Xenopus tropicalis: one gene and its partners. The protein of the gene in region 2 interacts with the protein of the main gene of each other region in a pairwise test. Links are inferred from orthologs where the notes say so. Each region holds a gene or a part of one and is shown on either strand. Other genes may lie near its edges. The genes, in order: txlna, rint1 and epc1.

The links.
Region 1: the proteins of rint1 (region 2) and txlna interact in binary tests that used the Homo sapiens proteins (3 or more experiments, as listed by UniProt). The two-hybrid records come from large-scale screens. The link is inferred for Xenopus tropicalis from reciprocal best matches to the Homo sapiens genes RINT1 and TXLNA.
Region 3: the proteins of rint1 (region 2) and epc1 interact in binary tests that used the Homo sapiens proteins (3 or more experiments, as listed by UniProt). The two-hybrid records come from large-scale screens. The link is inferred for Xenopus tropicalis from reciprocal best matches to the Homo sapiens genes RINT1 and EPC1.

What each region holds. Positions count from the first base shown.
Region 1 is NC_030678.2:86,591,421-86,595,174, reverse strand, and holds the start of txlna (alpha-taxilin), read right to left. Parts: upstream 2,467-3,754; 5' UTR 2,229-2,466; intron 1,850-2,228; 5' UTR 1,841-1,849; coding exon 1,714-1,840; intron 1-1,713. UniProt on the Homo sapiens protein: May be involved in intracellular vesicle traffic and potentially in calcium-dependent exocytosis in neuroendocrine cells.
Region 2 is NC_030679.2:77,093,358-77,097,111, forward strand, and holds the start of rint1 (RAD50-interacting protein 1), read right to left. Parts: upstream 2,796-3,754; 5' UTR 2,502-2,795; intron 681-2,501; 5' UTR 674-680; coding exon 452-673; intron 1-451. UniProt on the Homo sapiens protein: Involved in regulation of membrane traffic between the Golgi and the endoplasmic reticulum (ER); the function is proposed to depend on its association in the NRZ complex which is believed to play a role in SNARE assembly at the ER.
Region 3 is NC_030682.2:22,939,810-22,943,463, reverse strand, and holds part of epc1 (enhancer of polycomb homolog 1), read right to left. Parts: intron 3,109-3,654; coding exon 2,949-3,108; intron 2,761-2,948; coding exon 2,615-2,760; intron 2,533-2,614; coding exon 2,326-2,532; intron 611-2,325; coding exon 462-610; intron 1-461. UniProt on the Homo sapiens protein: Component of the NuA4 histone acetyltransferase (HAT) complex, a multiprotein complex involved in transcriptional activation of select genes principally by acetylation of nucleosomal histones H4 and H2A.

The DNA of each region.
Region 1 (3,754 bases), on a different chromosome or scaffold from region 2:
CTACACCTGTGTTGTAAATTCACCTAGCAAGTTTCCAAGTTATTAAAGTTAAAGTCGCTAACCTGGCCATAAATATGTACACACTAAAGAGATCAGGCCACAAATTCAGAATTGCTTATTGAACCCACTGTGTGGTGGGTCAGATCTGACTATCTTGCCCTTTTAGACCCATATCAGCTCAGGCTGATTGACCACTGGGACCGCGCCAAGTACCTGACTGTCTGACATGGAAATATATGGGCCTTTGTAATATTCCATATCAGAGTTGTTCCTGAACTTATGAATCATGTAAGGTTTGTGACATAAGGGGAGATTAGTTGCTCCGTAACAAATCTCCATTATTGTGGTGCGACTAATCTCCCCGCAGTGCCATCCCACCGGCGATTTACATTCTAGCCGGTGGCATGGCATTGCGGGGAGATAAGTCGCGCATGACTAATCTTCCAGTGTGTCACAACCCTAAGGCGTTAACAGTGACTCTGATCTCAGGGTAGTGTATAATATAAACACAGATGGAACAGTGCAACAGCTGACCAAGGGCTATCACATCATAAAATGCAGTTACTTTTTAAGTCTATCTCCTAACGCTGTTGTGTGAATTAGATACACCTGTGATGGACAAGGAGGAGACCCACAGACCAGTATGAAGTGAAGGCAACAACTGTAAACAAAGGAACAACAACAAAAGGATGCCCAGCAGGGCGAAAAGGCAATGAATAGCAATTTGCTCATACCCTCAAGGTGGTAGAACAGGTTTTTAGACCATGGGAATAAAGTTCAAGAATGAGAATCACAGTCTGTACAACACTGTAACCTACATGACACCTTTAAAGGAACAGTAACACCAAAAAATGAAAGAGCTTTAAAGTAATAAAAATATAATGCACTGTTGCCCTGCACTGGTAAAACTGGTGTGTTTGCTACAGTAACACTACTATAATTTATATAATAAGCTGCTGTGTAGCCACGGGGGCAGCCATTCAAGCTGGAAAAAAGGCGAAAAGGCAGAGGTTTCATAGCAGATAACAGATAAGTTCTGTAGAATACAATAGTGTTTTATCTGTTAACTGCTATGTGCCTGTGCCTTTTCTCCTTTGAATGGCTGCCTCCATGGCTACACAGCAGCTTATTTATATAAATTATAGTAGACTTTCTGAAGTAAACACACAACTTTTACCAGTGCAGGGCAGCAGCACATTATATTTTAGTTACTTTTATACCCTTTCATTTTTTGGCGTTACTGTTCCTTTAATACCATTATTTGGGAAACTAATCATCTAAAGGACACTACTAACTTGGAGAATTCTATGGGTCATCATACAACATCAACCTAGCTGTGACTGTTCTTTGGGTGTGGCTATCCTGGGAAAGGGCTAGTAAGAGTTATGCTTAGTTGAATGGTATCCCTCATGTATATAAACAGCATTTGTTAGTGAAGTACTTTTCTCTCCCTTCTATTGCACCTTTTCGTTTCCCCTTTTACCTCCCTCCATTTTAGTTTCCCCTTTTCCTTTTCTTTTACTTTATTATTTTGTAAACACATATACCACTTATTTAAAAATCAGGCTACAGGGTGGAGCTTGAGAGAATAGTCTAAATGACTGATAACTTTAATGAACTAAAGAAGGTCTTGACCAAAGGTTGAATCTTCAATGCTGGAAGGCAGAACTGAAAAAATCCGACACCCACTATAAAAAAAATGCTACTACTAACCTTCAGTAGCAGGGTGACAAACTCCAGGTGTAGTCACGTTCTCATCTGTGGCTGGAGGAAGTGAGGGGCTTGATGAGGTAGGGGAAGGCCCTTTGGCTGTGCCATTCTCCAGTTCTTGGTCCTTCATGACTCACTTCTAACAAAAGGTAACAGAAGCAAAGTATGGCATGTAAACAAGAAACTTCACGTTTTTTTCTTAAGAATCTAGTTAACCCTGTATGTTTGTAGGTATAAAACAATTCAATCAATGAACCTTGTTAGCATTAACCACTAACTTATCAAGTAGTTAACCACCTAGAAATAGATAACTCATAAGCTGGCACATTGGATATGCATAGCTCAATGTGCAGAGTAACTCCAGGTCCGGCCCATGCCATGACAACCCTTACTAATGTAGGTTTTGGGGCAACTACTAGTCTGCATAATGGGCACTCCACACCTAAACTGAAGATTTGCATCCCCCCACATTTTATACTTCTTAATTGTTTTATTTATGCAGGGCCACTACATGCTACCTGTTGTCAGCAAACTTGTATGTTGTCCTTGTCGCTCTACACACGGAAGCTGCACCTCAAGCGATGCAGCAGTATGACAAATGATGTAGTTCTGGTCTGTTCCTTGTGTAAGCGCTGAACTGTACACTTGTTTCACACAAAGTTGTTGTCCCTGCCAGTGAGGTTGCGCTGACTCCTTTTCCCGGAGGACACGATTAATAACCGGATTTACCTCACTCTTGCATCCGCTCCGGTAACGCTCACTCTCTGCCGGAAGCCACAGGCACAGGCACAAATCCAGGCCGCAAGCCGGACACTTCTTAGCCAATGACACGCAGCTCCAACAAGCCTAAAGGCCAATGCGCTCTCAGAGGCGGGTCTAACGGAAACCTCTGCGTTCGGAAGCAAGATTTATCGGCGCTGCTGTTGATTATAAGGAAACAGAAACTGTATAGGGCGGTAGCAAAGGCGCGAAAGTAAAAACTACAATTCCCTATAAGCCTTGTTTGTGCGCAGTCGTACGCATGAGTACCACCTTTTTGTGCGCTCGTTTGTTATATATAACTAAGATTCATTAAACTGTGACCCTTGATTTGACCCTGTTCATATAGTTTTCTCGTTTTAAACAGGTTATATTTATAAAAATAAAGCAAAGGCTTATTGAAAGTTTTTTAACATTTCTAAATTGAAATAATATGCCCTTGATACCGTTTCTTTTTATTAACATTGTTAGTTTGTCAGTCACAAGAATAATGATACCTCAAACATTGTTTCCATAACTAATAACATATTGACCCCCAGTATTTCATAAAATCCTAGTGGCCCTAGCAACAAAGACATTAGCAAGATGGGGCTGCTAGTGGGGGTCACCCACTCAAAAACGTGTGGCCCATTTTGTTTTCAATGCGGCCTTGCTAACTGCGATTTTACTGTGGAACTCACTGTTTTTCCAAAATGCAGCTTTTTTCCCTCAGAATTCCAGCATTGTTGTTCTCACATAGGGACGTTGCGCCTGACACAATTGCAGGCACAAGCAAAACCACGCCAAGCCCAACTATAATGAAAATGTAATAGTTTTATCTCATGGAAATGAAAAAAACTTTAAAAATATAATCAATTAAAAATTCTGCTAATATGCTAAGGGGCATATTTCTTTTATTTGGGCACAAAATAAAATAAATATGCTGGTAGGTGGCAGGGGCCTACCACGCAGGGTCCCTGTGTGACCAGTGGGCAAATAATTGGAGGGGAGGGTCCTGCTTAGTAGTATGGGCCTCATGACTACTGCTGGCGCACTCCTTTCCCATATCACAGTATACTTTCATGGTATCACATTTACAATTATTACAGCATTATTTATACTACTTTTAAGGTACCTTAGTATTAACTGAAGGCAAAGCTCTAAATAAATTTTTGGATGTTATGGGACATCAGACGGTAAAGGTGGGGGTCTATGCAGAAGAAAAGAATTGGGCTGCAATGATTAAAGGAAGAATGGTATACAGTGGATGTTGGGTTGAGATAGAGTAGCATAATATAAAAGGCAA
Region 2 (3,754 bases):
TTGTAAGGGCCGAAATGTGTTGGGTATTTCTATGTGTGGCATTAATAAATGATAAAAAAAAGGTTTATTTAAGAGTGCCCTGTTTTTTGCATTTGTGCAGCTTAATACTGCAAGGAAAACTATGGTTGGAAAAGGAATAATTTTTAAAAGACAAGATTGACATAAAGGGCTGATTCCATGTTCTAATCCTCTGAAAGATCAATACTTTGGGTGCAGGTTGGAAAGCAGCTTTTGATGGTCAGGTGCATGTTAGAAGAGACCTGCTAATTACTAGTAGGAAGGTTTTGTCACTACTTGATGGGATGACACCCCAAATCACACCACATGCCCTCTCATCAACTTTTTACTTCTAACTGCAGCCAATGCCCTTTAATCTTTAGGGCTGTTCTTGAGGTAAGAGATCACATCATCATCCTTAACAGGACTTAAAAATATAACCTGCTGTACTTACTTGCTCCTCCAAATGTTTCTTCTCTTCTTTAATGGTTTCTATGAGGTTTGAAACGTTTTTCAGAGACTTGAAATCATTTCCTATCTCCTTTTCTACAAATTCACACACATACAATGGAATCTCACATGTGTCCAAATCCACCAGTCCACAGATGTCACTCGGGTTCTTGTGGTCACTTTGATTGGAAGTGCCGGACTCTCTTCCAGTCTCCAAAGAAGCCATAATTGACCTGGGGAACAAGAAAAAGCATATTTATTAAAAGAAAAAAATAAATAAATTCAATTTTTTTAAATAAAAACACTTTTTCTTTTGTATCAAGTCCCTATGTGTGCGGCATTCTTTCTATTATATTTTTGTTTTTGACCTGCACCAAGGGCATTTGGATTCTGGATAACAGATCCAATACCTGTATGCAGATATATATACAGGAATGGGATCCCTTATCCGGAAACCCATTATCCAGAAAGCTCTGAATTACGGAAAGTTCATCTCCCATAGACTCCATTTTAATCAAATAATTCAGAATTTTAAAGCTGATTTTCTTTTTCTCTGACATAATAAAACAGTAACTTGTAATTGATCCCAACTAAGATATAAATAATCCTAATTGGATGCAAAACAATCCTATTAGGATAATTAATATTTTTTTGGTTTTTTAGTAGACTTAAGGTATGGAGATCCAAATTACGGAAAGACCCCTTATCCGGAATACCCTTGGTCCCGAGCATTCTGGATAACGGGTTCTATACCTGTATATGTATGTGTGTTTGTGTATATCAAATGTAAAAAAGGGGAGTACTTCCTCTATAAATACAAAGGCAGAGCTAATAGCGCTGAAGCAAGCTAAATGGTTATCAAAATAAGCTGTCTCTAAACTTCAGAGCTGTTGCAGAATAACAAACTCAGCAGAAAGTGTGTTGATATCTGACAATAATCCAATAATATGAATAGCTACTTTAATCAAACTGGTGAACATTTACATGCAGCAAAGGGCTTCCACCTCATATTTAGAATGAATCACCTATAACATCACCATTCTGCACAATTGATGACTAATCATGTGATGCATGCAGAACACTGCACTGTTTTTTATGCAGCCATGCACTGCACATCTGTGTTTATTACTCATCATCCCTGCGTAAATGGTTTTAATAGGCATCTGATTACTTAGGAATGGGGTTTCCAGATATTCCTATGAATCCGAACCTCTACAATCAATCTATACTGCATATTAAAAAGGTAATAGGTTTGTTGCATGACACACAGTTGTACAGAGGCCAACATAGGCTGCATTATGGACATAAAGTTCTAAGCCAGTGATCCCCAGTCAGTGGCTTGTTAGCAAGATGTTGCTCACCGCCCCCTTGCTCCCAGGGGCCTCAAGGTTGGTGCCCATTTTTACATTTCTGGCTTGGAGGTCAGTTTTACTCCAAGCAGAGCCTCCTGCAGGCTAGCAGTCCACATGGACTGCCAAATAGCCAATTACTGTGCTTATTTGGTACCCCTAAAGACATTTTTTAATAATTATTATAAAATACATATATTTAATATTTTTAAAAATATATATCTTGGGTTTTTGTTTTCCTTTCATTTAAGAGGAATCTGTAGTTTACAAGTTGACATCTTACCTGTCAATATTGCTATATGAAGGAGCACATGACAGCGGATCCACGTTCCTCTGCCTGGTTAAAAAAAGCAGGCAGAAGAAAGCAGATCTACTCCATCAATATTGTTTACCACTTGTACTTTAGGGCTTCTATACGAACTCAAAATGCATTTATTTATTCATTCATTAAAAAATAATAAAATCTTATACATTACTTTAAAGCATGGTGTTTTTCCCTGCAAAATCATTAAGATGCAATGCATTTCAGTGAAAACAACGTTTTTGTGTCAGTTTCCAGATCAATGCAAAAATGATTAGCACAATAATAGATGCAAATGCACACGACCCTAACTTGTATACACAAGCCGCCCCTGGGGAGAAATTACTTATTATAAAAAAAAGAAATTCAACCAAGGTGATGATTTTAATTTTCAAAGGAGTTACCTCTTCTGTAGATCAAGCAAACAGTTCGTCTGGGAGTTAGTTTCGGGCCCAGAGCCCACGACTCAAAGTCACTTTCGCAAATTGCAGTCCCGGGGATAATTTGTAGGTCTTTCGTAACGCATCTTGCAGCAGTCCCTGTGACAGCCTACACACTGTCACCAGCACTAAACACACATCACTTCCTCAAGCTGAACGCTCAGCAGCGGTACAAACACATCACTTCCGGTGACTTTGGCATCTCTCCCGCACTGCATACGTCACTTCCCAGTTCTGCGCCCTCTCACCTAAGCTGCAGACGTATAACTTCCTGCCCCAGTTCTCTCTGTAAAACCACAACTTTATTAACAAATTCGGCGTTAAACAAAAATGGACTCAACTGGTAGCGGAAATATAGCCACAGTGGCACTAAACAAACTATGAAGTTCCTGGCTAACTAGCAGCGTTATGAATTGCAGCCGCACAGTTAGAGAGCAATTCTCTCTGCAGCAGCCACGTTTTAAATCTTTCGCAATTCTAACGTGAATAATAATGACACCCTGCTGAATGAATGGCTATAAGTTAAAGGGGAATGCTTTTTTTTTTTTTTAAGTCCTTCATGAAAGAAAATCGATTCCAAGCAATGTTCTAATGTACATGAGTAGTTTTAGAGTTGTAAATGTGTTTGTAATTTGATGCACTGTTTGTCCTTTTCTGGTCTGACTTTTGCAACAACGTACCAAGAGCCAGCTCTTACCTAGCTCTTACCCAGCTCTTACCTAGCTCTTACCCAGCTCTTACCTAGCTCTTACCCAGCTCTTACCCAGCTCTTACCTAGCTCTTACCCAGCCATTACCTCAATACTTTCCATGCTTATTCAAGCAGCTGGCTTTTGCAATGCAGAAAACATAAACATGAAAAAAAAGTACTGGTCCGTTTTTGACTTCCTAATCAATAGCCTAAGTACTGTTTTCAGTTGCAATTATATTGCATTTAAATTTGTAATTAAGGAAATATGGGGAAAGTTGAATAGGCCTTTTTACAAAAAACAACAGGCGGAGCTCTGAGGAAACTGCCTTTAGTTTTTATAGTCTGCGGTAGGCAAATTAGATTGAGAGTGCTACTGAAGCAGGGCTGTGATGTGCTGGAACTATATCAGGGATGGTTTAAGGCTGTGGCCCCCAAAACCACAGGAGGCCTTGGGGCTAAAACATATAAAAGTACAACAAATTTTTAAGGAATATGTAAAGCCTACAATGTAAATCAGTTGGGAACAT
Region 3 (3,654 bases), on a different chromosome or scaffold from region 2:
CATTGTGCTCATATAGCTGGTTATGTTTAAAAACCAGTTACAAATCATATTGCACAGCACTCTAGAAATAATTTAAATAAGCAAGGAACTTCAGCACAGAGTCAGGCACCTGTAGCAAAAGCAACAAGTACAGGCTAGAACTTAAATGGGGCCCTGTACCACTTCATAGACCGTAAGATGGCCGCAGCTTTAAAATACAAGAAGGAAACTTTTCATTTATCATTAGTGCTGTTCCTGCCACAAGGCAAGCCGAGTTGGATCCAGATGAACATCTGGTGTTATTTTATTTTGACCATGCTTATTTGTAACTAATAAAAGCAAAACATTAACTTACTTAAGTCTGTTGGCCCTGGACAAAACTAGGCACCTAACCTTTACAGAGTTTTTGTACAGCACACAGCAAAAAGCATTTTACCTATAAAATCAGAAAAAAAATCATAACAAAAACAGCTCACACGTACCTCTTTTCCATTATTTCCAGTGTTAAATGAAGCAATTCCCGCTTGCTCTTTTCTCTCCTTTTTATCATTTCTAGTATAGTGACAGCCCGACTGAGATCCCGACGTAACTTCAGCATTTTTTCATATGAAGCTTCGTCATTCTTTCGATTCTAAGTAAGGAAGTTATACACATTATATCAAAGACAATAATAAACACCGCTAATTGGGTAAAGCAAATATTAATACTAAAATGAAAGTATCATTTTTGGCAAGTTATATTTTTCAGTAACATAAGTCAATTATGCAAAATGATTATAATTTACAGTGCGACAATAGGTCCTGTAAAGTCACAGTGAAAAATAAAACTTTTGCATAATTTCTAGCACCCAAATAAATTCTGTACTAAGCTGTATGACTACTCAAATTAAAACTCAAATTTTGTTAAAGGAGAAGGAAAGGTAAAAACTAAGTAAGCTTTATCAGAAAGGTCTATGTAAATACAGCCATAAGCACTTACAGTAAAGCTGCACTGAACCCCCTATCAAAAGAAACACAGGATTTTTTTGTCTCTCTTTTTGTAAATATGATATTCCAGTGTCTCTCAGAAACATCTTTGATTCCTGTGGCCAGAGTCTGCAGAGTTCTCTGAACTCCGTTCCCCCTCCCTTAGGTATGTGTGATCTCCGCTATAACAGCTGGAGCTGCAGGCAGGGAGCAACTGAAAATGGCAGCTGCTGTCTTAAAAGGAGACATATTGGATAAATGAGAAAAACCCTAATTTTGTAGGCAATTATGAATAATATACGGTGCTGGTTTCACTTTGGGCTAAACATTAATCCGGTCTGTAAAAATGGCCCCTTTATTGGAGCTCCCTATAGATCCTATCACTTCTCTGTCTGAGTGAGAAATGAAGAGTGGGCGTGTCCTAACAGTCCCTGCCAGAAGCACAGCAAGAGGGGGAGAGCCAATCACAGCCCTGCACTGACACAAGCAAAGACAGGCTTCAGTTCCCTATCAGGTCAGCCTAGGTGCTGATTGGTTCCTATCCTACAGTGCAGTGTACTGAGAGCTGCCAGCTCCCCAGCACATCCAGAGAATTCAGTCAGCAGGAAGTGTAACAGGTGGGCGGGGCTAGTGGGGCTTTGGTGGAATTTCTCAATAAATCAGTCTTTTTAAGCACAATCCTTCTATATCTAGGAGGAGTTTAATTCACTGGCACATTCATAATTTTTATAGGATATGTCGCCTTTAATCAAAGGGAGAAAGCTTCCAAAGCTCTTTACTCAGGTATGTTAATGGTTTCTGCAAAATAAATATAGTGTTCTAGGTGGCACTAATGTGGCAAATCTATTTGCAATAAAATGCTAAAATGACTTTCCTTCTCCTTTAAAGAATTTGAATCTGTTCATCCAGCTACAAGTAAACTATTTCTTGGCAGCAAATATCCTTTCTATAACCGTAAAGTACATTTAAAGTTCTGTAGGGAGCCATAAATTCCATCATTTGTGACCTTTATATTTCTGGTGTTGAGACTAAAACCACTGTATTTTACACAGCTTTCTGCTGATGTACAGATTTGCCCTACTGTCCAATAACATCCTGAATGTCTGCCCCATTGCTACACAGCAGCTTATTTACGTAAACTGTATCAGAGTCTGAATCAAATAAACAAAATAATTACACAAATATAAAAGCCACTGCGCATTCATATCAATAGGGAGCAAAAACAGGCTGTTATTATTATGTATGGAAAGTAGGTTTCAGGCTACGGATAACAGACAAGAGAGAACACCACTGAGGTAAAGTCGATAATGCAATATAGCTAAACCATATTTTGACAAGCATTGCTTAAGATTTAGAATAGTTAAGATAAGACATGACAAACCTTTCTTGTTTGCATTTTTTCTGTACGCCGTCTAAAGGCTACATAAGGATCACTGGTGCTGGAGCCATCTCGCTTCTCCTGTTTAACTGTTGGTATGACAGAGGAGGCACGGCTGTTTTTCCGTTTCTTAATCCAATAGTCATATACTTCAGTAATCAACTCATCATCTTCTTTTAACAAGAGTTTGGCCTCTTGGAGATTAACTGGCTGGAGAATAGATTTAGAACAGTCAGTAAGCGGTTACAATGCCAGGTTCAATGCAGGATTGCAAAAATGACAGCATTATTACCTGCTGCCCACTGCCCTTTTCTAATCGATCAACCATCTCTTCAAACTGGAGTGAAGAGATATCCATTTTCTTTTTCAGCTTATTCAGAAAGGCATCATCTTCAGCATCCAAGTCATAATCTGGCTGTTCAGCATCCAAACTAAAAGCTAAGAAACAGAAAAATGACTCGTTAAATGACAATTTCTTCACCTTTTTCTCAGACAATCCTGATTGTGTGTGATCTAATTCATGTATCAGACTTTGTATTATGTACCTCAATAGAAGTCAGTCAACGATACAAAAACACACACCACAACACTAGAAAGATTACGTCTAGATACTTTTTGGAACTTACGCTGTATGTGAATAAGCTGCTTTGGCATCTTAAATTCCCCTGGGTATACAGATTCATAATATGCAATGTTACTTTCTGCCTCTGGAACAGGAATAACCATGTTATCCCTTTTCTCTCCATACACCTGCAGTGCTGAAATGGCTCGCTGGAGATGATGTTCCTAATGGGAAAGAAAACAAGTGTGTTATAGGAACATATATGTCTTAGCAGAACTCTTAAGGTTAACATCCTTACACATTTTACATGTAATATGTTGCTATATAAAAGGGAATCCGATTTAAGCAAAGTGACACCAAAATTTTAGTCTGACTAGAAATCATCAATTTTTAATTGCCAAACTGTTTTATCATCTGTGTGCGTTTCAGGTTATATTTCAGACATGTTCAATACAACATATTGGTACCGCATATTGAAAACCGCACCGGGGTACCTGCAGAGAGTGTTTCCTCTTCCTTATTTCTTCTGTCTTAGGAATCCCTGGGCCGGCACATGCGCAATAGTGAAAAAGCAAGCGCACGTAGACAGAAGCAGGAAGAGGGGACACTCGCTACAGCTACCCCAGGCTGGTGCTATTTTCTCCTAACAGGGGCACCAGCCCAGGGTAAAAGGTAAGCTATTAAAGTAAGGATCTTGCCAGACTAATTTAGTCGCCTTTTATGAGGAGGTGAGTAGGAACCTTGATGCTGGAATGGCAGTTGATGTCATC